Elephas maximus indicus: one gene and its partners. The protein of the gene in region 3 interacts with the protein of the main gene of each other region in a pairwise test. Links are inferred from orthologs where the notes say so. Each region holds a gene or a part of one and is shown on either strand. Other genes may lie near its edges. The genes, in order: MAL, DOLK, EDA and PLN.

Region 1 (7,749 bases), on a different chromosome or scaffold from region 3:
CTCCCGGCGCTGCTTTCTTGGTGGCATGAAGTCCTCCTGTCTCTCTGCTCACTTCTCTCTTATATTATCTCAAGAGAGATTGACTCAAAATACAACCTAATCCTGTAGTTTGAGTTTTGCCTCATTAATATAACTGCTTCTAATCCTGCCTCATTAACATCATAGAGGTAGGATTTACAACACATAAGACAATCACATCAGATGAGACAAAGGTGGGCAACCACACAATACTGGGCATCATGGCCTAGCCAAGGTAACACACATTTCAGTCCATAGCAGGTGGGACCCTGCTGTCCCTCCCCCGCAGATCGCCCTGCCTAGCTGGGCTATTCCTCCCCCAGCAGCACTCCTTCCCCTGAGCTGTGCTGCCAGGAGGCAGGCATCGCTGGGAAGCCTTCCTTCTTTGAGGCCAGACTCGGGACACCTGCCTGCAACCTGAGCCCAGCTCCTCCCAGGGCAAGAGGAGGGAGCACCAGAGTTTTCTGCAAAAGCACGAAGCCCCACTACCACATCTCTCCACAATTCTTGCTATCATGCTCCCCAAACAGCTACAAAGGCAGGGTAAGCTGCTGCTTAGGGCAACCTGAGAGACACCAGGAAGACCTTTTTTACTTAAAAATCTCTCTGCCCCGTTACATGATCTCTCTGGGTCACGAAACTGCCTTTTTAAATGCAGCGTGCTCTGAGGAAACAACCCTTTAGTCATGCCCAGACCGTGGACATCCAGCCATGGGCAAGCACAGGCTAAGAGCTGATAGAAATGAGCCACTAGGGAAAAGAATGTTCCAGTGGGTGCTACAGGGCTCAGGGATGTGGGCCAGCCGTGTGTGTGTGTGTGTGTGTGTGTGTGTGTGAGAGTGTGGAGGGGGGAGGGGTCCCTCCTTCTGCCCCAGTGCTTGTGTCAAACACACTCCATTAAAAAAACACCCGTTGCTGGTGAGTTAATTCTGACTCATAGTGACCCTATAGGACAGAGTAAAACTGTCCCCTAGGGTTTCCAAGGAGGGCCTGGTGGATTTGAACTGCCATCCTTTTGGTTAGCAGCCATAGCACTTAACCACTCTGCTGCCAGGGTTTCCCAAACACGCTCAGCTGGCCATATTCCAGGTTTTACCTGGCAGCCTTGAACATGGAAGGACCATGGCAGGGAGGCAGAGTGCCTGGCTGGAAAGCTGGCTGGCTTTAGGCCAGTCCTTGCCTACTCTGCACTGGGTGTCCCCATCTATAAATGGAGGGGCTAGGCGCAGTGGTTTCCTGGATTTCTTCTACATGTCATTTCCTTGACTCCAGCTATCTCCAGTGGTTAAGAGCTTGGCTGCAAACCAAAAGGTTGGCAGTAAATTCACCAGCCATTCCCTGGAAACCCTGTGTGGCAATTCTACTCTGTCCTAAAGGGCCACTATGAGTCCAAACCACCTGGACGGCAGTGGGTTTGGTTTTGCTGGTTTTAGCTTTCCCCAGGATCTGAAGTCACTCTAGACAGACCTAAGTTTGGGCTTAACTCTTGCCACGAGTTCGATGGCTACTGGAGAACCCTTTTCTCCTTCCCGAAATGCTCCACAGGTGAGGAAACCTGATGCACGCCAGCCCAGTCCTCTGCTCCCTTTAGCATTCACACCCTTTTGCCTATAAATCAGACAAGGAGCTGGGGTCCCGTTTTTAAACAACCAGGTTCTGACTTTTTCATTCCCAATCAAGTCTTCACATTGTCGCTTCTGTGGTTGGGGCACAGGGAAACGTGTCCCTGCGGCTGCAATGCACCACACCAGCATAATAACAAAGCCCCACCATACCTGGTAAGGGCTGGTGACTCCCAGGGAGCTAAGGCTGAAGAAGGCTGGTAGCCTTCGCACACAAGGAGCCCACAGTGGCCTTTCGCTTTAGTCACTGGTGGCAGCTCTACCGCTCTGTCGCAGTCGGGAAAACCATAGGTGCCAAGGCCTTCTGAGGGCTCAGGGTAAGCCAGGGCAAGGGGACCTTCTCTCACCAGCCTCCCCAACACCTCCCCTGCCCCCTACACACGGGGTAGAACCGCTGCAGAGCAATAAACAATAGCCTCTGTTTGATCGTTCCCAGATCAAAGTTGTCACAGATATGTTTACTAGCTAGAAGCTTTAGAAGAGCAGAAGAGAAAAACCCGGACTCAGCTCTTCCTCCGACACCCACCCAGTCTCCAAAGCTCGGTAAGTAATACTCAGGTTTCTTTTGCTGATTTTTAAAAAAACGAGACCATCTCCCGGAAAAACCTGAACGCCCCTGCTAGGACGCTGCTCTCCAACAAGGAGGAAACCCAGGCGAGGAAACGAACCTGCTCTGCGGGCCACCTGGAAAGCAGGTCCCAGCGCGCGGCTTTGGTAACCAGCGCGCAACAAATGAACCCTGACCCGTCGCCGTGTTTCGAATTCGGCTTTCCACTCAACTCCCGCAGACTGTTTCCTTCATTCTCGTGGGTCTAGAAGGTGGCCAAACAACTCAGGGAGCGGGCTGTCCGGATCTAGCCCCTTTAAACATCCCCTCATCCCGATGCCCCGGGGACCAGCGCAGCCTGCGCATCCAGCTCCGATAGATAGCCGGGTGTGTGGTGCCCAGAGGGAGCTGCCGGCGCTCCCCATTCCGCCCCTTTCCCGATCGGGGCGCGGGGCGCGCGAACCACTCACAAACTCTAAGATGAAGAGCAGGTCCGGGAAGGTGGTGAAGACCGCGAAGCCGCTGGGCAGGGAGCTGCCCCCCGACGCCGCTGCTGGGGCCATGTCGGCGTGCTGGCGTCGGCCGCTGGACAGGACGCGCGCCGCTCGGGCTCCGGCTCCGCGCTGACCGCTCGCTGGCTCTGCGGAGCCCAGTGGCCTGGGCGCCCCCGCGCGCGGGTTAAGAGCCCGGCAGCCGGGGGCAGAGGAGGGAGGAGCCCGGACACCGCCCGCCCCCTCCCCTACCTAGTTGGCAGGGGCGCCCCTGGGGATCCAGTCGGAGAGCCCGGGGCACCGCCCAGAAGCCCACAGAGCTCGCGCTGTGGGCGTTCGTAACTGGGCGAGGGACCTATCCACTTCCGTGTCCCACCTCCCGCGGGGGCAGGAAAAAAGCCTTTGTAGCGAGGTGCTTCGAAAGTTTTGCACGCTTCGTAGGTGATCACCACCCCTTAAGAATGAAAACCGCGAACAACCAAAACCAAACCCGTTGCGGGTCGAGTTGATTCCGGCTCATAGTGACCCTATAGGACAGAGTACAACTGACCCTTAGGATTTCCCTCTGAAACCTCCCTCCATGGCAACTCGCCAGCCCCGGCTCGCCATTGCTTTAACTGTTCTTAACCTGGGTCTCTTCATCTTTCCTCGGGGCGCTTTAAAATGCCTGACATCCAAGTTCAGGCTCACGGTGGACGGGTCCCCAGTCCTGCCCCAGGCTGCCGGCTGGGGGTCTTCAGGGACGCCGCTGAGACCCGCTCTGGCCACGGGCCTCTTCTCCCTGCATCTTCGGAGCCCGACCCTGGGAAGGATGCACCCAGAACCAGTCTGCTGGGTCCTGGGGCTGGGCGTCGGCCTGGCTGTCAGAGGCTCCTTTTTGCAGCTGCCAGGCCCGGAAGAAGGCTGGTGGTGGCGGTGGTGGGGCAGGGCTGGTTGGATCCAGGGCACAGAACGGCCATCACTGGAGGAATTTATTCCTTCTCAGAGGAGGTGGCCTCCCACCTCAGCCGGTGGCATGGTCTCTCCTCTCCATGTCCTTTGCCTGTTGTTTTTCCTGGATCAGAACTTCTTTATTCTTTTTTGCTTTTGTTTTTAAACAATTAGCACCCTCAATACTTCTTCCGAGTTTTCAAAGTCCTACAAACCCTGAAGCCTAAAATTTGCCCCCATGATCCGTCATGCATAGAGGAAAATGGCCCTTCAGCCCTCCACTCAGACCCCCCAGCACTTCTCTCCTGGCTTCACTCACAGCTGCTGCTAGCAGGACGGGGTGTTCCCCTGTCTCTCGAGTGGGGCCTTCACCCTTTCCCCTCTAAACATCTCTTTTTCCTCCCTGGTCTCTAAGGAAGAGTCTGTAAATTCTAGGGCAAGTTTTCCAAAGAAAAATTTCTTGCCCACGAGCTGACCACTATGATACTTACGGAGAGGAACCAGGCATTTGAAATGAGAAAATCTCCCCACACCTCTGTGAGCCTCCCTCGGCTGCTGACCTTGTGTGTCAGGACCTGTATCCTCCCCCAACCCCCGTCCCCCACCCCAAGATCCCCAGGGTACGAGCTTCTCTTGCCGAATGAGCTGTGATGGACACAATGGGCTGTGGGGTTGTCAGGGACCACCCCTCTCCCCGGCCCCCAGGGCTGCAAACCCACCAGGGCATCTTACAGTATGTTAGTTACCCCCAGCTGCCCCCTGGGAGGATATCTCCTTCTCCCCAAGGAGACATGGTGGGGACAAGCATCAAAGCAAGGCTGCCAGCGAAAGCTGCAGCCTGCAGTGGGTGAGGTAACCCTTGAGCCAATCCAGCCAAAGCTGCTTGGGGATTTCTTTACCAGAATATAAACCACACCCTTTGCCGACAAGTCAATTGCGACTCATAATGACCCGGTAGGACAAAGTAGAACAGCCCCATAGGGTTTCCAGTGCTGTAATCTTTATGGAAGCAGACTGCCATATCTTTCTCCCACGGAGTGGCTGGTGGGCTTGAACTGCCAACCTTTCAGTTAACAGCAGGGTGCCTCTACCAGTACATACTAATTAAAAATCAAAAAAGGTCCTTCATCTCATCTGTAGTCCTGTGCTTGATGTTCATCTTCCTGACCAGATTCTGCCTTGTGAAAGGCGTCCTCCTCCCCTCCCGTCTGTCCGTCTGCCCAGCACATCCTTGCCACCCAGCTGAGGATCCAGCCATGGTAGGTACTCAGCCAACATCTGCCCAAAGCCAGTGTGGACTGCAGCCTGGTCCTTACCTGACGAGAGGAGGAAGTAGGAGGACCCCGTTTGAAGGTAAAGAGTATTGGTCAGTGGAGGTGGGTCTGTCTTCATTTTACAACAGGTGCCCTGGGACAGTTGCTGATGGTTTAGGTTGTTCATATTTGTAACAAGACCGTACTTTGATTTCCAGGAGGACGTGAAAAAACAACCTGGGTGCGCAGGTGGAGCTCAGGACGTTGTTAGGGTGGTGAAACTCTCTATATGGCGCTGTAACTGTGGACACGGACAGGACGCATTTGTCAGAGCCCCCAGGACTGTACAACAAGGGAAGTGAACCCTGCGGTAAACTAAGGCCATTGGTTGATAACAGTGTTTCCATATTGGTTATCAATCATAAGGAACCCATGTCACCAGTGCAAGGTGCTAGTAATAGCAGGAACCGTGAGTGAGGGAGAAGGAGGATTTGGGAACTCTCTGAACTTTTTGTTCAATTTTTCTGTAAATCTAAAACTGCTTTTTTAAAAAAAGTCTCTTAATCTAAAGAAAAACAAAACAAAAAACCTTCAACCTCAGCCAATAATAACTTGTTGCAATGTCCTCAGTCTTCCTAGCAACACAGTGGGTGTGAATGTGGTGGTCAACCTAATAGACTAGGGCGGGTCCGGGGCTCCTGTTGAAAGAATAACATGTCCTGGGGCAGGCTGAGAACCCTAGGTGAGGTAGAAACTAGAAAGCATGATTGCTCTGTGAGTACAAGGTAGGAAGTGGCCCTCCAGCTTTTGTGTGCTATAGGGAGGGAGACTAGAGAGGAGAGAGCTGAGGGAAAGCCCCACAGCACAGCTGCTGAGTCCTGGAGCTCGAACTTGAACCTAAGTGCCATGTGTCTCTGCAGCTGCAAGCGCTGATTAAGATCACGCTCAAGGTGGGCAATCGTTAGCCAAATGCCATGCTCCGTACAGACCATCGACAGCCTCCCAAGTCCAGTCTTAATGCTCATGTCAGCCTCGTACAGTGTACATTTGCTCCCTAAGATGTCTCCGCCCAGCTGAGGGAGCTCCAGACCTTTCTTTTCCTGACCAGAAACACAAGGGAAGTTGGTGGTCATCGTCCCAGCTGATGGATGAGGATGCCAGGCCCTTACTCTCCCAAGGGGTTTTATTTGTTGAGCAGATGTGTTCTCCATAGCTGCTGCTTTCCACCCATGGCACGAGGCAGTGAAGACACCTGCTGGGTGGATGGATGAATGGCACTCCTGCCTGGGCTCAGGAGGATGGAGGGGAGCCAGCCTCAGAGTGCCTACTGAGTGCCCACAGGACCTCTTTTAACTCACAGAGACTTTTGGGTAGGCGTTTCCCACCACACAGGCTTCGAGTGGGGAGGTGACAGGCCCAGGCCAAGTGCAGGCATCTGCAGGGCCACAGTTTTGGCAATCGAGTCTCTTCGTTCCAAAAGTCATGCCCTGTCCCCACTGCCTCTGTGCCTATTGCATAAAACACTCAGCCTTGAAAACCACAAGTGGCGGTTGCTCGCAGGACTGAGCTGCGAGGGGACCCATGAGGTACCATGTGCCTGCTGCCCCCAGGGGCAACGAGCACAGCCTATCCTCTCGTCTTCCCCACCCCCATCTAGTTCATGTTTCCTAGGACCAGGGAGACCGGACGCTCTGCCACCACCTGGGAAAGTCGTCACTGAGCCCTGAGATCCTCAGTGTGCAACAGGGACTGGCATGGCCTGGGTATTGTGGGCGGAATCTGGGTGTAGGGACAGAGTCCCTGCTCTCTGGGAAGATTCCATCCAAAGGGGAAATCAAGTCCAGAGTCTATCCACACTTGGCCTTCTCTAAGCTGGGCCTGCACTAGGTGCTTCCCTGTCACTGTGGGCCAAAGGCTGAGGGGTGGAACATGGGCTGGTGTTTCTACAACAAGGCTGGATCAGGCTGGCTCCATTTTGGAGCACCTCTCGGGTGGCCAGCACTGAGCCCGCCCTGAAGATAAAACCATAAACTGAGTAGAGACCCTGCCCTCATTCCACTGCAAACCAAAACAAACCCGTTGCTGTGGACCAATTCCAACTCAAGCAACCCTATAGAACAAAGCAGAACTGCTCCATAGGGTTTCCAAGGAGCAGTGGATTTGAACTGCTGAACTTTTGGTTAGCAGCTGAGCCCTTAACTATGGCGCCACCAGGCTCCCTCATTCCCCCAATCAGTTCAAATTCTGTAAGTGCCGGGCAGTGGGGTGCCATGGGAGCAGCCTGTGTGAGCCTCTGTGGTGGAGGTGAGGCTGTTGCACCTGCAGGCATCCTGGGTGGGTCTTTCAAGACCTTTGCCAAGGCCAGTGTGAGTTCTCTTCTGTGATGCTATGGGGGGAGGGAGCAGAGTCCCACATGTGCCAAGGTGCCTTTAACCCTTGGAACACTTGGCCAGTGCCAAGCACTTGGAACAGAGCCAAAGGAAACGGGTACAGGACCATCCCAGAGTCTCTGACTTAGTCTAGGGTTCCCAGAAGCCAGTAACAGCCTGAGATCAGAAAACAGATAAAACATCAACCAAGCAGAATACAAAATCAGGAGGAGGGCGTGCCTTGTGCAGAAGAGTGGAACGTTCTTATGGAGAATGGTCAGAACATGCCAATTCACATCTCGGTCCTCCGTGCTTAGCACGGTGCCTGGTCCATGGAGGAGGGATGCGTGCTTGTAGAAGGGCAGGAGAGAGGAAAGGAGGGAAAAAACGAGCCAGGTTCTGGAAAGCCAAGGAGCCAGCAGACTGCACACCGGTGACACTATGTGTATCTTTGGGTTCATTGATTGCTGTCACAAAAAACAGGCCCGTCCTTCCAGCTGTGGGGCTGAAGGAAAAGGA
Region 2 (6,652 bases), on a different chromosome or scaffold from region 3:
CATCTTATAACAAGTATGCCAAATGAGTTCCTAAATCACCACTGCTCCAGGGCATCAATTAGCCTCAGAGAAGCAGACAAAAGACTTAGTCTATTGGCTCTCTCTGCCTTTTATCTGTTTGATATATTAGTTTTGGGGTTTATTTTGAGAAAAAGATTCTGCTACTAAATGAGACTAGAAACCACTCCCCTGGAATGAGGCAGTAACTTTTACATTTAATACTCGAAAAAAAAAGAAATTCTCATTGGTAAATCCATGTCATGTGATGGTCTTTATACGGTGTCAAAAAATAATGCTGTCGAAAACTTGAATTTTTGATAATAAGAAAAGTAAGTATCACGCAATTATGTCAGTTGTTGCTGTTAGCTGCTGTTGAGTTGGCCCCCAATTCATGGTGGCCACACATACAACAGAACAAAACGCTGCCTGGTCCTGCACCATCCCCATGATTAGTTGTATTTCTGACTGTTGTTTTCCACAGGGTTCTCAGTGGCTGATTTTCAGAAGTAGGTAACCAGACCTTTCTTCCTAGTCCATCTTAGTCTAGAAGCTCTGTTGAAACCTGTTCAGCATCATAGCAACATGCAAGCCTCCACCGACAGAGGGTAGTGGTTGTATAAGAGGTGTGTTGGCAAGGAATGGAACCCAGGTCTCTCGCGTGGATGGCAAGAATTCTACCAGTGAACCAACAGTATCTCATAATATGTCAGGCACACTGTCTTACTGAATACTGACAGCTTGTTTATGAGGCAAATACTGTTGTTATTCCCATTAGCTAATCTGGAAACTAAGGTTTAAAAGTGGTTAAGTAACTTGCCTATCACACAGCTAATATACTACAATGGAGCCAGGGCTTGAACCAGGTGCTCTGCATGACTCCAGAGCTCAACTACTACATTTCACTGCCTCAGGATGCACCCAAGAATTCATGCTGCCAGCAAGCAAAGATGTCAACTGAGGTGTTCTACAATAGCGGACCATACCCTTAACGTAGTAGCTGGCACAGATATTTGAAAGAATAAACATCAAAGAAAGGGAATGATATGGGTCCCTTTTAGGCTTGCAATCTAACTGGAACAGAAAAATCAAGAAAAACAATATATGCAGAAGTACCAACAGAAGGGAGAATAAAGGAGAAAATGGTAGAGTTATCAGGAACAAAATCTATGGAAGTAAGTCTAACTGGTTTCCTCAATACCTACATACTCACTGGCCTAGGAATAATGGGGATACAAATAAATCTAAGACCTTTATGATGCTAAGCTTAAGGGATGAGAACGGCAAAGGATATTAAATACACATTACACAATCGGCAAAAAGGAAGAAAGTACTAAACGGCATGATACTAACAACTAATACAAAGAAACTTAACCACATAGAACAGAAAAGTCAGAAGAGAGAGGGATTGCTGGGGACTGATTCAGTGATTGACAAAAGGCTTCATCTCAAATTGGGACCTAAAGGCTTGACTGAAACTTAGAACTGTGAAGCCCACCCAAGACTCGGGGAAATAGCTTCTATATATATTTCCAAGAAACTATGTGCTAATGTCTCTCATTTACATGCATAATACTCCTTTCAGCGAAGTATGTGGGGGAGACACTAAGGCACAGATTAAATAATTTGCCTCAAATTCAAAGGTAAAGTTTTAAAAACTTCACTATTTCCAGTCCAGTGTTCCAGCAAACATGGAACGTCATTCCTACAAGAGCTGAAGTTAATGGAGCCTGAAAATTATCTTCTTTAGTCATCCATCTCATTGGAAAGCTATGAGTGAAGGCTACTGGGAGTTAGAAATAACTGTTTCTACAATTCAGTCCTTTGGATAGAAAGCTGGGACACAGCCAAGCTACCTTGATGAGATATTTAATAAATAAAAGCTACCACTGCCCGTGGACGCTCTAACTTCACAGAGGAAGTATACCTCTCTTGTGTGAACTGAGATTTAAGCTCAGCAGCAAAAGCTTTCCAAATTGCAGTTCTATTTTTGTTTAGCACACCTACACCATTCAGACTAATTCAAACACTTTAACTGAAGAACGCAGGAGTTACAAGAAAAGTGCCAATATTCAAACTTTCTGCCAATTCCTGAGTGACCTTTCCAAAAGATTGATTTAAGGGTAGTATTCCTTTTTTTTTTTTTTTTTTAAACTAATGCCAGCTTGTATTAACATTCACAATGACTTTTCCTACAAAAAAAAAAAAAAGCCTCACAGCCACTTCAATACTACTCTGGAAATGATCTGCATTTGGAGAGACAGGTTCAAAATGGTGAGGTCGCTTGTCTGCAGTCATCTGCAAATCTGAGGCATCAGGAAGAGAATTAAGTTTTCTCTTAGTCCAGACCTACAGGCATTTCAGACAGAGGACTGCTGCTCAGTATAATTCCATCTGCTACTGAATGTGACTTTTGGCACACACACACAAAAAAATCACTCTCCTGATACAAGCCATGAGCAAAGCAGTGCCTAAGAACTCTAATGCCCTTTCTTCCTCCTTAGGATGAGTTTGGTAGGTTCCCCAGCATGAACAAGTCATCTTTCAGGCAAACCAATGCTTTCCTAATGTTCCTTTTCATTAAGGAACATGCTTTATTCTACAGGAGCCATAACGACTATGAAACAACCCTAAGAAAAGGAGGGCACAGTGGCTACAATGCTGTCCTGATACAATGGTTGGCATGAAACGACAGAGGAGAAAAAAGCAAACTGGTCCTCACAAGGTACAGAGGTAGTCCAGGGAAAATTCCAGAGGAGAAAAATCTCACTTTCAGCTGGGAAATTAAAGTGATGCCAGAGAAAACGGACAATATTTGTAATAAATACTAATGGCTTTTTTTTTTTTTAATTACATGCTATTCCTGGGTACGGAGGATACAGTGGGGAATACGACAAAAAAGTGGGGAAAACATTGTTGGCACTGGGAATATAAGCGCCATAACTACTTTGACTAGGGAAGGTGGGAGGGAGTAGAATGGACGAAACCTCTTCAAGGTGGAATGTGGAAGACAGGGGTGTGAAGGTTTCATTACAGTTCTGGAGTCGAACAGACTCGGATTTGAATCCTCCCTCACTTTACCCCTTAGCTAGCAGAGCGGGACTTCTGACTCATCTGTAAAGGGTACCTCACAAGAGCTGTGAGAATTCAAAAGGATCTCACCAGTGTCTGGCAAGAGCAAACCCTCTATATTGAAAACTGTATTATTCTTTTTAGCGTTTCGTCTTCTTGCTCCCAAAGCCTAGAACAGTGCCTGAAATCTCTTGGGAGATTTGAACACATCGGCTGACCGAATCAATGAGTAAAATAATGAATAGATGGGTGGATGAAAGGCTGAGCGGAGAATGAGGACAAAAACTACAAGGAGGTGGCTCTGTGCAACAAGAGAGCACATGAGGAGAACCTGAGAGGCAGGGAAGGCCCGGGACAGGTCACCGGGGGGCTGCGGCGGGGACGTGGGGGGAGGGGGAGGGAAGGAGAGGGTCCTCCAGGCGACCGCAAAGCGCCCGTTGCGCCTCGAGGTAGCGTCACAGCCAGACGAGGAAGCGCTAGTGGGGCTCCAAAGGACACACGGACGGGAAGAGGGGAAGAAGAGAAAAGGACTTGGGTGAGGAGACGGGAAGCCCAGAACTGAGGGATAAGGTGAGGAACCGGCCCTCCGCTTGGAGAAGTCCCTTCAGCTCCCCGCGCGCGGGGACCGTTTGCACGTAACCGCTTCCCGTCTCGGCGCCGTCTACCCAGCCGGGCTTCGCACCGCCACCGCCGCCACATCCCGCTCCCAATTCCCGCCCCGCTTCTGCTTAGTTTCGAGCCCGCGCCTCACAGCCAACCCCGACAACTTGGCCCGCTCCGCACCTCACACACGGCTCGCCGGCGGCCGCCGCCATCTTCCCGCGCGCGCGCCCCAGCCCCGCCCCCAGACGCGGCGCCCACGTGACCGCTCGCCTGGTACCTGACGCGTGGGGCGGAGCTTCCGTCACGTGAGTCCGGTACGGGGCGGGGCCAAGATGGCGATACCCGGGGAAGCGGAGAACCAGCGGCCAGGGTGTCCGCGGTCGTGAGGAAGGCGGCCGAGAGACGGTGTCTACTCCGTAAATTGGAGGCGGTGGAGAGTGACGGGACTCCAGCTTTCAGGCCGCAGAGAGTGACCTGCAGTGGAGTTCTGTCCTTACAACTGGAAAACGGAGGGAGAAGGTTACTGGCTGGGTGAAACCGTTGTCCTTTGCTTGGCGGTGCTGAGGGACCAAGAGTCCAAGGCGTCCCTAGTCACCCCGGCTTTCCGGGGGCCTCAAGCCTGGAGACATGACCCGAGATAGCGCTCCTCCGACCCCGGGGGCGGGAGCTCCGCTGAGCGGTTCGGTCCTGGCAGAGGCGGCAGTGGTGTTCGCCATGGTGCTGAGCATTCACGTAACCGTGTGGGACCGATACTCGTGGTGCGCTGTGGCCCTCGCAGTGCAGGCCTTCTACGTCCAATACAAGTGGGACCGGCTGCTCCAGCAAGGAGGCGCCGTCTTCCAGTTCCGAATGTCTGCCAACAGTGGACTACTGCCTGCCTCCATGGTCATGCCTTTGCTCGGACTGGTCATGAAGGAACGCTGCCAGGCTGCAGGGAACCCACACTTTGAACGTTTTGGTATCGTCGTAGCAGCCACTGGCATGGCAGTGGCCCTCTTCTCGTCAGTGTTGGCGCTGGGCATCACTCGCCCCGTGCCCACCAACACTTGCGTCATCTCGGGCTTGGCTGGAGGTGGCATCATTTACATCATGAAGCACTCGCTTAGTGTGGGTGAGGTGATTGAGGTCCTAGAGGTCCTGCTAATCTTCGTGTACCTCAACATGATCCTGCTGTACCTGCTGCCCCGCTGCTTCACCCCTGGAGAGGCAGTGCTGGTATTAGGTGGCATCAGCTTTGTGCTCAACCAGCTTATCAAGCGCTCTCTGACAGTGGTGGAAAACCAGGGGGACCCAGTGGACTTCTTCTTGTTGGTAGTGGTGGTAGGGATGGTGCTCATGGGTATCCTCTTCAGCACCCTCTTTGCCTTCATGGACTCAGGCACCTGGGCCTCCTCCATCTTCTTCCACCTCATGACCTGCGTGCTGGGCCTTGGTGTGGTCCTGCCCTGGCTGCATCGACTCATCCGCAGGAATCCCTTGCTCTGGCTCCTTCATTTCCTCTTCCAAACAGATACCCGCATCTACCTCCTAGCCTATTGGTCTCTGCTGGCCACCTTGGCCTGCCTGGTAGTGCTGTACCAGAATGCAAAGCGGTCATCTTCTGAATCCAAGAAGCACCAGGCCCCCACCATCGCCCGGAAGTATTTCCACTTCATTGTGGTAGCCACCTACATCCCAGGTATCATCTTTGACCGGCCACTGCTCTATGTGGCCGCCACTGTATGCCTGGCAGTCTTCATCTTCTTGGAGTATGTGCGCTACTTCCGCATCAAGCCCCTGGGCCACACTCTGCGGAACCTCCTGTCCCTCTTCCTGGATGAACGAGACAGTGGACCACTCATCCTGACCCACATCTACCTGCTCCTGGGCGTGTCTCTTCCCATTTGGCTGGTCCCCAGACCCTGTACACAGAAGGGTAGCTTCGGGGGAGCAAGGGCCCTAGTCCCTTACGCTGGCGTCCTGGCTGTGGGTGTAGGCGATACTGTGGCCTCTGTCTTTGGCAGCGCCATGGGAGAGATCCACTGGCCTGGAACTAAAAAGACTTTCGAGGGGACCATGACGTCTATATTTGCCCAGATCATTTCTGTAGCTCTGATCTTAATCTTTGACAGTGAAGTGGACCTAAACTACAATTATGCTTGGATTTTGGGGTCCATCAGTACTGTGTCCCTCCTAGAAGCGTACACCACACAGATAGACAATCTCCTTTTGCCTCTCTACCTCCTGATATTGCTGATGGCCTAGTTGTTGTGCAGCAGTAGTGATGGAGGAGACAGGAACATGGGGAGTGTGAATGGCCCCCACAGCAGCCAGCCACTTGGGTATGAAGAGCCAAGGGGTGAAAAGAAGATTGGACTTTTGGGTGGTTCAAATTTAAAATAAAAATCAAAGCTTTCTTGGTTTTAGTTTTGCTAATGTTAAAAAAAAAAAAAAAACAAAGAATAGTGCAGCAGCTCAAAGAATTCGAGTGTGCTGCAGACCCCCTCCCTCCACACACACACACCTAGCAGTCCTCAGAAGGGGCAGGAGTGGACACTGGAGGGAGGAAGTAGAGCATAGGGGTTAATGCTTCAGGTTCTGGTGTCAGACTAATCTGGTTAGAATCCTTGGTTGTGGCACTTAACTGTGTGGACTCAGTTCTCCTGTCTGCAAGATGAGAATTAACAGCGCATATCTCATGGGGGTGTTGTGAGGATCCAGTGAGATGAGATATGTAAAGTGTCCAGTCCAGGGCACGATGAGCAATCAGTGCGGGAAAGTGTCATTATAACCTGAGACCAGGTTCATCGTAGCAAAAAAGCCATGCGAGCCAAGGGGGCTTTATCAGTTGTACTTGGAGACCCGAGCGATCTTTACTTTTACTTCCCTGTTTCATTTGGGGTAGGAAGAACTGAAGGGGGGAGGTAGGGTCAGCTTGTTGTGTGTATGAAGAAGAGGATCAGGTCCTGCACTGATATTTTGTTTCAGCCAACCTCCTCCC
Region 3 (7,488 bases):
TTCCTGAAAGTGAAGGAAGAATAAGAAATACATGGTTAAATTTAGTCTGGTCAAAACGTAGGTAGAGTAGAAGAAAATGGTGCAGATCTGAGCCCTCTACTTTGTAAAAAATCTACTATGTACCTCCACTCCCCCTTCGAAAAGAGTCCCCAGGAGATAGTATGCCATAGGGGGATGAACACTGAACTGCAAGTCAGGAGATCAACTTCCATACTAGTTGTCGCCCTGGTTGGGTGACCTTGACCAAGTCACTCCTCACCCAGGGCCTAACATGTCCTCCTAGAGGATCAAATAAAATTGATTCATATGGCCCCACGTAACTCTAAAAAAACATCGACTCCAGTTGATGTCAATAAATATAAACAGCCAGTGTGCTTGCTTCTACTGCTCAAAAACATTAAAACAGAAAGAATAAAGGACAGAAGATAGGAATCAGTGTTTAAACCTGACAGAGCAATTTAAAATGCCATGCAAAAAGCAGGCAAGAAACTCCATTACACACCTGTGATAGTCCCATGTCATTACAAAAGCCCTAGAGTACAGCTGTTCTGTTAACCTCAGTCCTTAAAGATGTGTCTCTCCATTCTGAATGCCAAAAAATGTTTGGCCACATTTGACTAAAGAAGCTGAATTCCCTCATCTTTCCACAGAATTTCATTGTTCAGCTGCTAAATATTTCTGCTGGGCATTGGTAGGGGGGATGGGTAGATAAAGGAGCCAAAATCCTAGTTAATTATCATTTAGTCACACTGTTTAAAGTTTCAAGTATGAGAAGCATGTTTGCTGATTCCCTTCTTTGATAAGCTGTTATATAAGTTGGAGTGTGCAAGCAAGACATTTCAAGGCTCAGGGCAACTTTTCAATGTGCAATGTAAAAAATGTGTCAGTCTTAACATTACAGTATTATAAATATGATGCCTCTATAGAGTCGTTCAAAGGCAATGGGATGGGCTATAGAGTACAACTTTGGCTAGGTGGTCAAATTAGCACAAATAATGTTTACAGAGTTATGACAATTACTTTGAATGTGGCAGTAAATATAGAAGGCCTGCCTCCCCAACCTCAAGGAACTTATTTGCACAACTTGCCCTCTTCCTCAAGAGGTACAAATTCGCTATTCTTTAACCACCTCAAAAAGATCCTTGGATGCTTTCCCTATTAAGACAAAACATAGACATTGAGACAATACTTTAATTATACTAAGTTTACTTGAATAAAGAGCTAGAGAAAGTAAAAAAAAAAAAACAAACACCAAAGTTTGCTAATCAGGGCACAAACACCATAAAGATAGAATATAAATAAACTGCTCTTGAGAGGCTGTAGTTGTGTGCCATGGAGTTGATTCCGACTCACAGCGACCCTACTCCTGAGAAATTATCCCATCAATAAATTCCTGTTCTCAAGCTAGAAATAGTGACGACACTTCACACCCACCTCCCCCATTTCACCCCCCAAAAAAAGCTAGAAATAGCATGCAAAGGGTGAGTTTTATTTCCATAGATTTTCTTAAATTGCTCTTCAAAAGTAGTTTAACAAGACCGCATGTTTCTACCAGGATTCCTCAGGGGCGCTAATCCTCACTAGAGCACTGAGGACAAACCAAAAAAAGAAAACCCATTGCCGTCGAGTTGATTCAGACTCATCGCGACCCTATAGGGCAGAATAGAACAGCAAGGAGCACCTGGTGGATTCGAACTGCCGACCTCCTAGTTAGCAGCTGTGGCACTTAACCACTACGCCACCAGGCTTTCAGTCTCAAGTTGCAGGTAAGTGTGAACAAGCCCACGACTGGTCAGCGCACAATGACCCCGCGCTGAAAATACAGTTAACTGTTGTTTCAACGGGCGTGGAGCGTTTATTACAGCTGTTTATACCTCCAACTCCAAAGGAGAGTCTACTAGTGCTGCCACCAGCCCTGGACACGAAAAAACAAGCACCGTGGGCAGAGAACCTCACCAAGACCAGGGGGCCAAGCTGCTCGCGCTTAACCCTTCAGAGGGGCAGCGCGGGCACCTCCTTTCCGCGGCCCGGGCCAGAGCGTTGCCAACTTTCCCTGAGGTAGCCCGTAGCCGGGGGCGGCAGAGGCAGGCACCGGACGGAGTTGCCAATTCAAGGGATTCATAGAGTCTGGGTGAGCTGGGCCGGGGACCTAGAACAACCTGCCCTGGGGCAACCCCTCCCCTCATTGGCCTGCCCCCTTCCTGGTCCTGCCCTCTAACTTGGCTCGAGGTGGCAGAGTCCTCCCAGGGCCCTGTGGTGGAGGGCCCCCGCCCTATCCACAAGGGAAGGGGGCCTCTGCTGCCGCCGCCCCTCCTAGGTGACTCACCTGGTGCCCGTCCTGGGAGTCGAGAGGGAGTGTGGTTTCTCCGGGTTCCAGCGGCTGCTGCTGAGGAGACGACTGCCCGAGGTGGCGGATGATGGGACCGTCAGGGTTGAGGCCACTGGGGCTGGTCAGAGTGCCAGAGGTGCCAGGGGTGCTGGGGCCGCCAAGGCGGGTCTCGGTTCCCCGTTCCCGCCGCAACTCGGAGCGCAATTCTAGGTAGCAGCACAACGTCAGCAGGTGGAGGGCCAGAGAAAAACCAAAGAAACCCAGGAAGAGCCGGCAGCTGCTGTTCCCTTCGCCGGCCCGGGCAGGGGCCCCGCGACAGCCGCAGCCCTGGCTTCCCCGCTGGCGCGGCAGTTCCCTGCGCTCTACCTCTGGGTAGCCCATGGCCTCCGGAGACACACACTCTCTGAGGCCCAGGAGCCGTCGCGTCTGCCTCAACCGTTCAGGACCCCTGACAGGCGGCTACTGTCCTGCCATCGGCTGGGGGCTCCAGGGACCCGTTCCTGTGCGTCGGTGGCTGGGCGGGACACAGCAAGGAGCAGCCGCATGTGCAGCTCCACTCCTAAGGGTGGGAAAGAGAGGAGGAGGGGCGGGAGAGAGGGGCGGCTCTGCCCGCCGAAGGAGTGAAGGAGGAGGCCCTGACCGACCCCGCCCCATCCCTCAAGGGGCTGCTGGTACGCCCAACCACCCGTCCCGCCAAGTCTGGGTGCTCCGCCCCCTGTCGTTCCACCGGCGCCTCAAACCGCGGGGCGGGGCCTGGAGGCGTGTGGGTTAGCCTCTGTCTGGCAGCCCCACCCAGCTCTTCCCGCTTTCCCGGTACGGGTAGGTTACTGCCGCTGTCGTTCATCCCTGGACTCCACCCCTATTTAACCCTTTAGCGCCAGTACGGGGGAGAAGGAAGGAGGGGAAGGCTGAGAAGAATTTGGGAACCTTGGGGGAAAAAGAGGAGAGCAAAGAAAAGAAGGCAGAAACGAGGATTAACAGAAATGCTTGCAATTAACTTTAGTTTTTAATAACATCATTCAGCACTTATCTGTTACTTTCGAACTTCAAAGCGTTTAACAGAGGTTAAACTAATTAAAACAGTTCTGGGTTTGGAATGAAACCATGTCTGCTGTGTTTGTAATCCACTGGCGTGCCAGAAGAAAAGAAGAGTCGGGAGCCTGGGAGCCAAAGGGAGTGGGAATGGGGTGTGACTCAGGCAGCCTCCCTCCTGGACTGAGTCTGGGGGCTCAATCTAAGTGAGGAAGAAGGTGACCTGTGCCAGGCAGGACTGAAGTGATGTTGCCCCCTGAAGGTCAAACCAGTCCCCTAAGATTTCTTATATGTTAATTCAGCAAACATGTATAAAATCCCTTTACTTCGTAAAAAGTGCTATATAAGAGAATTCACAACCAGAATAGTTTCTCTTCTTCAGTTGCAGCAGGAGTTTTCAGTGGAGAACACGTGACTTCAATGAGCAAATTGGGAAACTGAGAGCCAGAATGAGGTTGATTTTTACAAGGGTGGTCCACAGAATGGCCAGACAGTACTGGCATCTCTGTTTGCAGGCAACTGTTCTGGCCCCTCCACCCCTCCTCTCCTTCCCCTGGAGCAGTCCCTAGGGGAAGTTCAACAAGTCAGCCAAATGTTCCAGATGTACTCTGCTGCAACTGCAGCATCTTTAACAGCTGCACCAATCGGAAAAGGATTCAAGGCAACAACAAAAAAAGTGGGCAGATGTCAGAACAATAGATCCTGATATGAAGATTGTAAAGGATTAGTTAAATCAAAAGTCATAATTAACAACAGTTAGTTGGAGATTATAGAGAGCTAAATGACCGTGGTGGAAAAGAAAGTTTTGTTTTTTTTTTTTTAATGACCGTAGAAAGGAAATATTCATGCTTCTTGGTCACCTTGCAATCCCATTCCCATGTTATTAATTGAGAAGCAAGTAATTCTCAGTTTCAGTGATATGACAAAGCCATCACGAATGCCACCAAGGAGGCTCAACAATGCCCAGGAGTGTGGATGGGAAGACCTATAACCTAGACTGGTGGGAGGGAGAGAAAAATAGCGGTAAAATAGAAGAGAGACAAAAGGAAAACAACAAAACTAAACCAAAATCATCTGGTGGGAGGTCAGTCCAGAAAGCACAGAGACCATAGGTCTTAAATATTTCAGCCACAGCCAACTTTTCTTCCACACACTTTGTGAATGGTTTCCGTGCTTCAACAACATCTTTGTGTCCTCTCATTAACCTTAACCCATGAAATATAAAGTTTTCAAAGAATATCATCATTACACCAAAAAAAAAAAAACCCACTGCTGCAGAGTCAATTCCAACTCATAGTAACCCTATGGGACGGAGTAGAACTGCCCCATAGGATTTCCAAGGAGCAGCTAGTGGATTCAAACTACCAACCTCTTGGTTAGCAGCCATAGCTCTTAACCACTACACCACCAGGGTTTCATTATACAGACAGGAAAAAAAACAAAAAAACATTTAACAGCTGCTCTCAAGTCCTGCTTGTCCAGTCCAGGAACTCCAGCTGCTGGGGAAATTGCCAGGCTGATTTACCTTAATTATCACAGCCCAGGATTATTCAAAATAATGCTAGACTAGGAGTCAGGAGATCTGGCATAGCCACTAATTTGCAAGTCACTGTGCTTTTGGGGGCCTTAGTTTCTCCAATTGTAAAATGAGGATTTTGAACAGCTATAACATTGTCTTTTATTTGTGTTGTAACTGACTATATTGACTTGGTTGCGTACACAGTTCAAAGAGGCTGTCCCTGTTTCCCCTAAAATGAAAAGGGGACAAATGAAGCCATCTCTGGTGGTGGTGGTCATGCTCAGGGGCCATACTGGTCTCAGTTTACCATGTTCTATCAGGTTTTTAACAGCTTAACTGAGACCCTGAGTTGCACCATCCTCCTCAGAAGCCCTGGGGGTTGTATTTGACCTTGTGCCTCACTTTGCTCAACTCAACAGCCCCCAGAGGAAGAACATATGTTTTTATATGCAGTAGAATTGTTGGTCTGGGGCAATCCAGTGAGGAATGTACATGGTCATTTTTTTAAGTGTTTCCACAGTTAGTGTCTATGCTTCCATAAGTACCCCATTACCTACACCACAGGTCTTAAAATGACAGCCCGCAGGCTACATCCAGCAAATTGTTGTGTTGTGTTTGATGCAGCGTTGGCTAAAAGTTTGAATTAAAAAAAATTAGAAATCAGGACATTTCACATTAAAAAAAAAATCCAGATTTCCTGTTTCTGTTTAAAGAAACAAATAAATAAGCCCAGAGTGTCCACATTCCCTTATGGCTGCATTCAGCTAGAACTGACCCCTTGATACAAACACAGGCTATCAAATTCCACAGTCACCCGCCCCACCCCCATCTCCTTCCTCTTCTCTCTAATATTGTCCTTGTCACTCACTTATTTTGTCTGACCCCTGTAATACAGGAGACAAGATCTCAACTCCTTAGCGTGACCTACAAGGTACTCATAATCTGGTCTCAAACTGCCTCTCCAACCTCATCTTCCACCATCCTACAGGGAACACATGCTCCCACGATACTAAATTAGTTGACTGCTTTGTCACAGTTGTGCCTTTTCACAAGCTTTTTTCTTTGTCAGGAATATCACCACCTTGGAAACCTTATAAATTCTTCAAGAATCAACTCATATGTTCCCTCTGGGCTCCACAGCCCACTCCAAACAGATTGTACCTTGAGCATAGCTCAATGATATCACCTACTATATTGTATTTTTAATTTTTCACATGGCTCTCTCCCTACTAAATCCTGAGCTGTTCCTTGATGGTAAGAACGGTGTTCTTTTTATTTGGGTATCACTAGTATCTAGCAGAGCACCTATGACGTAGCAGGCACCAGTATTGTTTATCAAATGAATAGGGCATGAAGTCTGCTATGGTAACCTAGACTACCTAGAATTCCAAAAAGGGAACTGGGCTAAAGGATACCTGTCAGTATCACTTAAGAAGCACCTGTTGTATACAAACTGTATAGCACTATGCAAAAGAAATAAAACTAATGCTACCATAGTGGTTGTGAATAATCCAGAAAAGTAAGTAATCCAGAAATTCAAATATAATTGGTTTATAGTAACTCATTGGCCTTTCTGCCCCATCAAGTTTTCCTTTCTAATTTGGGCTTAATATTAAAATAAGTCAGCTAAACTGAAGACCCTGAATACCCATCAATTGAGTGGAATATGTTAGGGAGTTGGGCAGAAACTGCTTTGAAATACAGTACCTCTTAGCTCTGGTTAATCTGCAGAACAAATAATTGACATAGAGATCACAGAGTTGACTCTCTGATCCACTTAATGTTAAACAGATAGTTGGAAGGAATATAAACTTTGGATTAGATCCTGGTTTGAATCTTAGCTTATTCACTTACCAGCTGTGTGACCTAGGACAAGTGAGTTTTACCTGTCTTGCAGAGAGCCTCAGTTTTCTCATCTGGAAAATGGAGATGACAATATTATTTTTTTTTAATCTAGCTATGATTAAATGAGATGCTATAAGTGAAAGTGTCTGGCACATAATAAATGCATAGTAAATGTTAGTCCCTGCTGTCCAGGAGCCTTTCGTCAAAAGGAGATGAGAGGAAAAACATACAAATACTCAAGAACATGGCAGAAACACAGAAAAGCATCTACCTACTTTGCCCTTGCCAAAAACTGCCCCATTTTTTGCATCCTTAGAGTTTGGGATAAGGCCTATATGTTCCCACCACCTTCCCCTGAACTCTTAACCCATATATCTATCTTCCTCCTTTCAATTTCCACTTCCATCAGATAGATATACTTTGTCCTTCCCTACCCTGTAGAAGGAGCCCTGGTGACACAATGGTTAAGCGCTGGGCTGCTAACTGAAAGGTTGGTGATTTGAATCTGCCAGCTGCTCCATGGGAGAAAGATGTGGCATTCTGCAGTCTGCTTCCGTAAAGATTACAGCCTAAGAAACCCTATGGGGAAATTCTCCTCTGTCACATAGGGTTGCTATAAATCGGTATCAATTCAATCGCACACAACATCAAGCCTGTAGTCAGAGGCATTCTGTCAAAATGTAAGTCAGATCCTGTAGCTCATCTGCTCCAGATCCTCCAATAACTCTCCATCTCACTCCAAGTCCTTTCCTTGGCCTCCCCT
Region 4 (7,961 bases), on a different chromosome or scaffold from region 3:
GTATTAATTCACAATTTAGGTAAAAGTTATTGGTTTTCATAGCATGAATAACAAAGCAGGATTTCTCTGATCAAGCATATCAGAACAAAGGGCTGGATATTTAGATGGTAGAATGAGGTAGATAGAAATGAAACTGAGGAAAACTGAGAATTTAATATGGACTGAAGGAAAGTACCCAAGTGTAGATTTTGTGAAAAGTTTTGAGGAGGAATTAACCTTTATTCCAGTTATCAAGGCAGCTAAATGAATCAAAGGCATGAGATTTTGGCAGTGAAACAAGTAAAATAAAAGAAAAATTTGTTTTGATTGATCGTGGCATGTGTTTTTGTTTTTTGAAGTGTGCAATTTTTTTGAGTTTTGCCTTCCAGGGTGTATTGTTTAATCAGGAGAGTATTATTTAGGCTATCAAGGGCGTAAGGCCTGATGCATAAATTAACTTGAAATGGTTTAAAATTAAAATAGAAGTTTGCATCCTCTGGATTTGCCTTTTAGATTGCCAGTTACAGTATTTGAAGTCCATTTTGCTTTGCCAGTGTCATGATTTATTTTTAACCCATGTTGATTGGTGTATAGGATGATCATGTGGTTTAGAGTCATAAAACCTAGGTTCCAACCAGTGCTTTCTTATTTCCTAGCTCTGTGACCTTGGCAGTTCACCTGTTTGCATTCGTTTCCTAAATTGTAAAATGGAGATGCTGTGTGTAGTATATATGGAGTTAGAGGATCAAACTGGGTATTTGTATACACAGTGCATTTAGAAAATTGTTCTTCAAAAATAAAGAAGGAAGTTTTAATGACCCTCATTTCCAGGATTGTTTTTAAAAAAAAAAAACCCACTAATTTAGAGAGGTACTCTAACCTTCACATTTGAAACCTTTAGTTTTTTCTTCTTTAATTTAGTGATTTATACAGATACTCTCCTCTTGTCACCAATTAATTAGTGAGATTAGGAAAGAATATGTATAAATATGTAATCAAATGAAGTTTACTTCTGGAATATTATTTTCCTTTGTGTCTGTTAAGATGTTATTAAAATATCTGAGAGTTTTTAGAAATAAGAGTGATGTGGCTCCTCTTACTAAAGCAAGTACTCTAGCTCTATCACAGAGTTTTAAAACAGAGTTTTTCACAGTTTAGACATCCTTCACATTTTTTCATTGTATTTCACCTAATACTTAAAAAAAATTTTAGCACTTAGGCTTAAACCACATGTCTTTATAAATAAAGGCAACACTTAAGTTTTACCTCGTAGTGACAGCAGTGAACTGTCGTGTTGTTGTTAGGTGCCATCAAGTCGGCTCCAACTCATAGCAACAAACTAGTTGGGGCCTAATGTCTGGCAGGAGGGCATACGTTTGAAATTTGAACAGTCACTGTAGTTACGGAAGTTCCGTTAACCCGGACACACTATTTAGCTAAGGGTAACTTTAGTAGAGCATTTCTGCTGTTTTTAGAAATTGTCTACTTTTTGGGCAGTATGTGATATGGTGAAGTTCTGGTACAATAAAGGAACTTGTGACCTCATTTGAAGTGTGAGAATGTAATTTTATATTTGAATAAAATGTATAAATATGCACATAAAACACATGCATTGAGTGACTTATGTAATATGAAAGGGAGAACATTCATAGAAGATATTAAGAAGCAACTGGGGTGCCTCAGTGGTAGAAAAAAATTAGAAATATTTTTGCATTCTTAAGGAAAGCTGCTTACAGAATTATGAAGTTCTTACTTGTAGTGAGCGGTAAAGTTAACACTTAGAGGAACTGAGAATTCTAGAGGTAAATTTTATTTTTGCATATGTATGAAAATAAAAATAATGAAATAAAAGCTATGTCATATTCTTTATGCTATGACTGGTAGAGATTTAAGAATGAGGAAACATTTCATATATATATTAAATTGAGGATTATAACACAGTAGAATTGAAATAGAAGTCATAATATTTATTGCAGCATCTCCATTCCTCTGCATTTTTTCTTTTCTTTAAATGCGGAAGAGGAAAACTGAGGAACACTGGCAAACACTTGACAAAACTATATCCATTGATAGGCAGAATAAACATACATTTCATCAGATTGGCTCAAATGAAATATTGAGGAACATTTTTGCTGCCAAAATGACTTTTTTATTTTGAAAGTATTGAATTTATTATTCTGTAATTCTGAAAAGATTTTTCTATGTGTTTTTGGCAGGTGTTATATTAAAGTTTCTAAACTTATTTTTTATAATATACTCTTGAATTTATAAGTAACTCAATTTATTAAAAGCTTGGGTTTTTAAATGTGTTAAAAGTTGCCTGAACTTTATAGAGAGGACAAAAAAATCTTCAAGAGCATTTTAAAAGTAGCTCGTATTACATACTCTAAAGTTCCATTGTATCCACTATATTTATTCACGGTAAGGAATCACAATGTCCTAGGGGAACAGGCACGCCGATGGGCAGTCACACGACTGCTCATAGTATTCCAGATGTAAATAGACAACCAGTCCTGCCCTGTTTCTCAGCAGAGTAACAAATAACAAAATAAAGCCATTGTTTTTACATGGAGAAATTAAACCACCACCACCACCAAATATGGAAACATAACGGGGAAGATTTTTACATTGGCAGAAGTTCACATTTGAAAAGCAAAATAAAAGTGGAAGTTAAAATAAGCTGACAAACCAATAACCCGGTTCAAAGATGAATATGACCCAAATTCCAAAGTTTAAGTCCTTTATGCTCATTCTTTCTGTCACTGAATGGATGTGAATTTTTTTAGAAATTAAACTTTTTGTTATACTAAACATGTTATTGTCTAATTTTGAACTAAAATTCACAAAATGTGATTAACTGCTTTTTCAAAGTTCAGTAAGTTTGAATTTAGAAAATGAAAATTACCAAAATCAGTGAACTCTACTTCTTACCTTGGCTGCCAGTATGGTACTCTGTATTCTAAGTTGTATGAAGTCTTACAGGTGGTCAGCTGGGAAGTTTTCTGACTCTGTTACCAGGTTTATGGGAACAATTGAAGTACATGGAGGAGAAAAAGTGTTCTAGGGAGGTCTTATGATGTCACACAGGAATTCTGAAGTTATGATTGGTTAGCTGTAGTTTTATCACAACCAAACTCTTCAGAACTTCATTTGTCTTACTTTAGGCATGGAAAGGTCATTAACACTTTGTGTTCTTCATTTTTTAATTTAACAAAGTATATGGCAGATAAATGAAAAAAAAAAGTTTTGGGTGGTGTTCAGAAAGCTCTCTTTAAGGTTTCATGTGTCTTCAGGCTTAGAGAGAGTTGTATACTGTAAAATGTCTGTTGATAATATTGAAGAGCTAAAATGGTCATAGTAATATGAATTTTAATAGAGTCAGAATAATAATACTGACTTGCCTCAAACAATTTTCATCAAGTTGTTGTTGCTACAGCTTTAAAAAAAAAATACTGCAGCTTTATACTGTTAGCTTTATAATGTTAGTAAGACAAAAATTAAACATTTTCACAGAATCACTTTTTTTTTGTCTTATTTTGTTGTTGCTGCTCAATACCTGTGTGTGTATGCGGGGAGGAAATGTGTTTAAGAAAACCAGGCTACTAACTGCTTTTGGTTTAAAAAATAAACTTTATCTTTTATTATAGATAAAGTAAGACTCATCAATGTGTTTAGCTTATTTATGTTTTCTTCAATTTGGGCTTTAAAATATGCAGTAAAACTTGCGGAAGCCAGAACCCATGTAAGGTGGAAACTCATTACAGAAGGAAAACGCAAGTATTTTCCACAAAATGGAGAGCACTAGAAAAGTGGTGACTGTACCTTGTCAAAGGCAGAAGACTTTCGAGACCCAGAATAACAAGGCAGTCCCTGCTAGTTCCAGCTCTCACAGGTTTCACTGTATTTCTAAACACTATATTTCCAAACACTGTATTTCACTGTTTCAAAACAAAACAAAATTTCATTACATGAAATTTAAACTGATATATATTATCCCCAGAAAAGGTACAATTTACAAATTTAAGTATTTAAGATTTTTTTTTACCAGCTGCATTAAGTTACCGTAGAAGCTTTCTGAATTTTTGAGTAAACTGACTCAGTATCAAGGGTGACGTTCTAGTAAAAAAATGAAATAATCAGATTCCTAATCATTGCATCCTAGTTAAAAAGGCTTTATTGACGTAGGTATGCATGTGTTGGAAATTTATGTTGTGTAGTATTTCTAAAAGGGTATGCTTCATTGAATACAGCAGTTATTTTCCTGAAAATTATCTCGATAAATTTTAATAAATGGAATGATACTTTGAACTTAGTAGAACAGTTTAGTTTATAGTAGATCTAGGGAAGGAAATTCTTAGGAAAAGCCAGGTGTCAGTTTTCTGTTAGTCTAATTTTTAGTTTTTATATTGGATTTACTTAAAGTATCACACCTGCAGTTCTAATTCTTAAATCTCTTATGTAATTTTGGAAGAGCTGTTTATTATGCAGTTAGCATTTATAGAGAAGAAAAATCAGTATTTAATTTTAAGGGCTATTTTAAAACAGCTCTGGAAAAATAGTGGCTCGAGCTGGGAATTTCTCTTTTGACTTTGTTTTCTTATTCATTTCATTATTCATTATTCATAAGTCGTAACTATAAAGATCTATGAAGAAAAGGTTCTTTAAAAAATATCTGTGCTTATAGAGGACTGAACTCAGCCTGCTTCACTTTCTTTATGGGTAACTAAAATGTGTAGCAGCAAGCTGCTTATGTGTCCTTAAATGGAGATGATTTTGACTTCTCCCAAAGAAAGATAAAATCCATCTCTGGAGCAAATCTCTATTTAAGAATCAGCCAAAACTAAGTGAAAAATAATATTTTAGCAAAGACCTTCTGTGAATACTAAGGGAAAAGTAAACATAAAATTAAAGAAATGGTATGAATAACGTTTGACACTGCTGTGCTCAGCACTCTATAAGCATTTTTTTCTTTCAGTCTTACATAATAAGGACTTCTTATTGCTATGAATTGTCAGTGATGACTGATAATATGAAACCTAGAAGCCTAAAATGGTGTGTAATAATATGTGAGAGACGACACAACTGCTGAGGAATAGACGAGGATTCAAATCCAGATCTGTACAGTTATAATTCCCTGATAGACTGGCATTTTGTTAAAAATAATTTACAGAATATCATGTATCAGCTAAGAAACATATAAGATGGAAATGGATGAATTATTGAAGATTTGTTGCTATTTTTAGAAAATCTGCTTTAAGTTTGTCCGGCAGTTACATATTTGTTTGAAAATGAAACTTAGGGGATAGATCATTGTAGCTTGAGCACTTCTAGGAAGATAGAATTAATAATACTTAGTTGAGTAAGAAACTTCCATAGGTGGGATAAAATATGTCCTAGATATCACACATTTTTGCAAATTTACTTAAAAACATTCAAAGGCATACATACATCTCAGAAGGATTCTAAGAACTATGTGTGTCTGACTTGGAAAATGGAGAAAAGAAACTTATTTTTCTGATTTGTATAAGAGTGAGTAACTTCAATGCTTACCCTTTTCCTTTGGTTTAGCTTATTATTATTATGATTATGTATTATAAGGCCAAACGGAACTCTCTATATGTATATTAGTATGGCTGCAGGAGAAAGATGTGACAGTCTGCTTCCGTAAAGATTACAGCCTTGGAAACCCTATGGGGCAGTTCTGCTTTGTCGGGTAGAGTAGCTTGGAGTCGGAATCTACTCAATGGCAACAGGTAATAAGTAGTATCGTATGTTTGTCACAACCAATGTTTGTATGTTACTATTAATTAAAGCCCATACTTTATTCAGATTTCTTCATTTTTCTCTCATCCTTTTTCTGTTCTAGGATCCCATCCAGGCTACACATGACATTTAGCAATCATATCTCCTTAGGCTCCACTTGACTGTGACAGTTTCTCAGTCTTTTCCTTGCTTTTCAAAACCTTGACAGTCTTGAGTACACCGATCATATATTTTGTAGAATGTCCCTCAATTGGGATTTATCTGATGTTTTTCTCACAGTTAGACTAGAGTAATGTGATTCTCCGGGAGACTAGAGAGGTAAAGTACCATCTCATCACATCACACCAAGGGTAGTCAGCAGCACATATCACTGTTGATGTCGACCCGGATCATCTGAATGAGGTGTAGTTTGTCAGGTTTCTCCACCGTGAAGTTACTCTCCTTGCCCTCTTCTATACTTCACTCTTTGGAAAAAAGTTATTACGTATAGACCATAATTACGATTCACTACCTAAAGGGTGGAGTATCTACATAATTATTTGCAATTGCTCTGTGTATATAAAAACATTCCGAGGAAAGATCCGTAGGCTTCAGCAGTCTGCCAAAGAGGTCTGTGGCACACACAACAAAATTAAGAATTCTAGTGTCAGAGGATGTTTCTGTAGTTTTATGGAACAGCCCTTTTTAGAGAGAGGCAGGCAGCTCAGGCTAAAATCCAAACCTCTTAGTTTGTATTTTCAGCCCTTTCCCTCTAGCTTCATCTCTTATCACATTTGTACCTTGTACTCTGGCCCTATATACAGCTGCTGGTGGCCCTTTTCAAGCAGTGCTATTTTAAGCCTCGGTATTTTTTTTTTTTTTTTTTTATTGTTTTGCAGGAATGCCTTTACCAACCTTTATTCCCATGGAAGTGCTGTTTCAATTTACCCATTCTGCGAAGCCCTCCCTTCCCCCTTCCCGTTATGCGGAACAATTTTGCATGTATCTCTGTTGTTAACTGTCACTTTTTATTTTGCTTATTAATGTGTCTGAGTAGACTAGATTACAGGCTCCCTGACAGGAGATCCAATGACTCTTATTTGCGCCCTTATTCTTTATAATACTACTACTTAGTGTAGAATCTTGCTCCTGGTAATGCTTAAGTACTGATTGCATGAATGAATAAAGAAAAAATGGGGGAAAGATTGACAGGTGATAAAGTTATGCTGCAGAAGTAAGTGTTAAGGACAGCTAAGAAATCCTTCGCAATTTTCAAGCTCAGCATGGGAATGAAGAGAAAGATGTGAATGACTGAGATGTTGGATAGGAGTAGAATAAAAATAAAAACCAAACTCGTTGCTGTCATGTTGATTCCAACTCATAGTGCCCCTGTAGGACAGATTAGAACTGCCCCCTTCGGCTTCCAGGGAGCAACTGGTAGATTCCAACTGCCAACCTTTTGATTAGCAGCAAAGCTCTTAACCACTGCGCCACCAGGGCTCCAAGAGTAGAATAACCAAGAAAATAGCTTTGTTTCGTATTATTTAAAAATGTAAATATGTTTGGAGGGTGAGAGTGAAGGAAGGTCATACCCTAAGCCCAATCTTCCTATATTGAGCCATTTTTTTTTAATTCAATTTTTTTCTTTCCTTGTTGGATTCATAATGATACATGGTTCTTTATGCACTCTTAACATTGGTCCATGCATGACCTGCTTTTTTGGTATAAGTTAGTTATTTTTAATAACGTAATAAACACTTGTGAAGTCACCACCTAAAACAAAAGGCAGTTGTTAGCAATAATTTATACCTAACCACACAGGACCTTGCCTAGTTCATCATCCCCTACCCAAGCAAATGATCATTCTGGATCCTGGGTTTATTTCATTCCCTTTGTTTTTATATAGTTTTATGGCATTGTAATTTCTTAAAAGTATTTATTTTTATTTTGCTTGTTTTCAACTTTATGTAAAGAATATCATGATTGCGTAATTTTTTTGCATTGAGTATTTAAACTCCTGTTAATAGTAATGTGATTGGGTGGGTGGCGGGTAGAAAAAAGAGAGGGAAGGTAGACCAGTTTTTCTGGAAACTTTTTGACAAAAAATTAACCGATGGCTAAATTAAAGCATTTTACTATTTACACATGTAACACAGTCAAATGTAAGCTTTGAATGAATTTTTGTGATACACACAAGACTTGAAAGATAGGGAGATTTTTTAGGTTAGGCTTCCCAGATC

The links.
Region 1: the proteins of EDA (region 3) and MAL interact in binary tests that used the Homo sapiens proteins (3 or more experiments, as listed by UniProt). The two-hybrid records come from large-scale screens. The link is inferred for Elephas maximus indicus from reciprocal best matches to the Homo sapiens genes EDA and MAL.
Region 2: the proteins of EDA (region 3) and DOLK interact in binary tests that used the Homo sapiens proteins (3 or more experiments, as listed by UniProt). The two-hybrid records come from large-scale screens. The link is inferred for Elephas maximus indicus from reciprocal best matches to the Homo sapiens genes EDA and DOLK.
Region 4: the proteins of EDA (region 3) and PLN interact in binary tests that used the Homo sapiens proteins (3 or more experiments, as listed by UniProt). The link is inferred for Elephas maximus indicus from reciprocal best matches to the Homo sapiens genes EDA and PLN.

Annotation. Positions count from the first base shown.
Region 1 is NC_064835.1:89,430,115-89,437,863, forward strand, and holds the start of MAL (myelin and lymphocyte protein), read right to left. Parts: upstream 3,016-7,749; 5' UTR 2,751-3,015; coding exon 2,658-2,750; intron 1-2,657. UniProt on the Homo sapiens protein: May be involved in vesicular trafficking from the Golgi apparatus to the cell membrane. Plays a role in the maintenance of the myelin sheath, and in axon-glia and glia-glia interactions.
Region 2 is NC_064827.1:79,930,336-79,936,987, reverse strand, and holds DOLK (dolichol kinase), read left to right. Parts: upstream 1-3,968; 5' UTR 3,969-4,299; coding exon 4,300-5,916; 3' UTR 5,917-6,136; downstream 6,137-6,652. Other genes in the region: nucleoporin NUP188, read right to left, coding at 3,853-3,884. UniProt on the Homo sapiens protein: Catalyzes CTP-mediated phosphorylation of dolichol, the terminal step in de novo dolichyl monophosphate (Dol-P) biosynthesis. Dol-P is a lipid carrier essential for the synthesis of N-linked and O-linked oligosaccharides and for GPI anchors.
Region 3 is NC_064846.1:100,697,153-100,704,640, forward strand, and holds the start of EDA (ectodysplasin-A), read right to left. Parts: upstream 3,015-7,488; 5' UTR 2,711-3,014; coding exon 2,327-2,710; intron 1-2,326. UniProt on the Homo sapiens protein: Cytokine which is involved in epithelial-mesenchymal signaling during morphogenesis of ectodermal organs. Functions as a ligand activating the DEATH-domain containing receptors EDAR and EDA2R. May also play a role in cell adhesion.
Region 4 is NC_064819.1:185,739,832-185,747,792, reverse strand, and holds the start of PLN (cardiac phospholamban), read right to left. Parts: upstream 3,022-7,961; 5' UTR 2,911-3,021; intron 1-2,910. UniProt on the Homo sapiens protein: Reversibly inhibits the activity of ATP2A2/SERCA2 in cardiac sarcoplasmic reticulum by decreasing the apparent affinity of the ATPase for Ca(2+).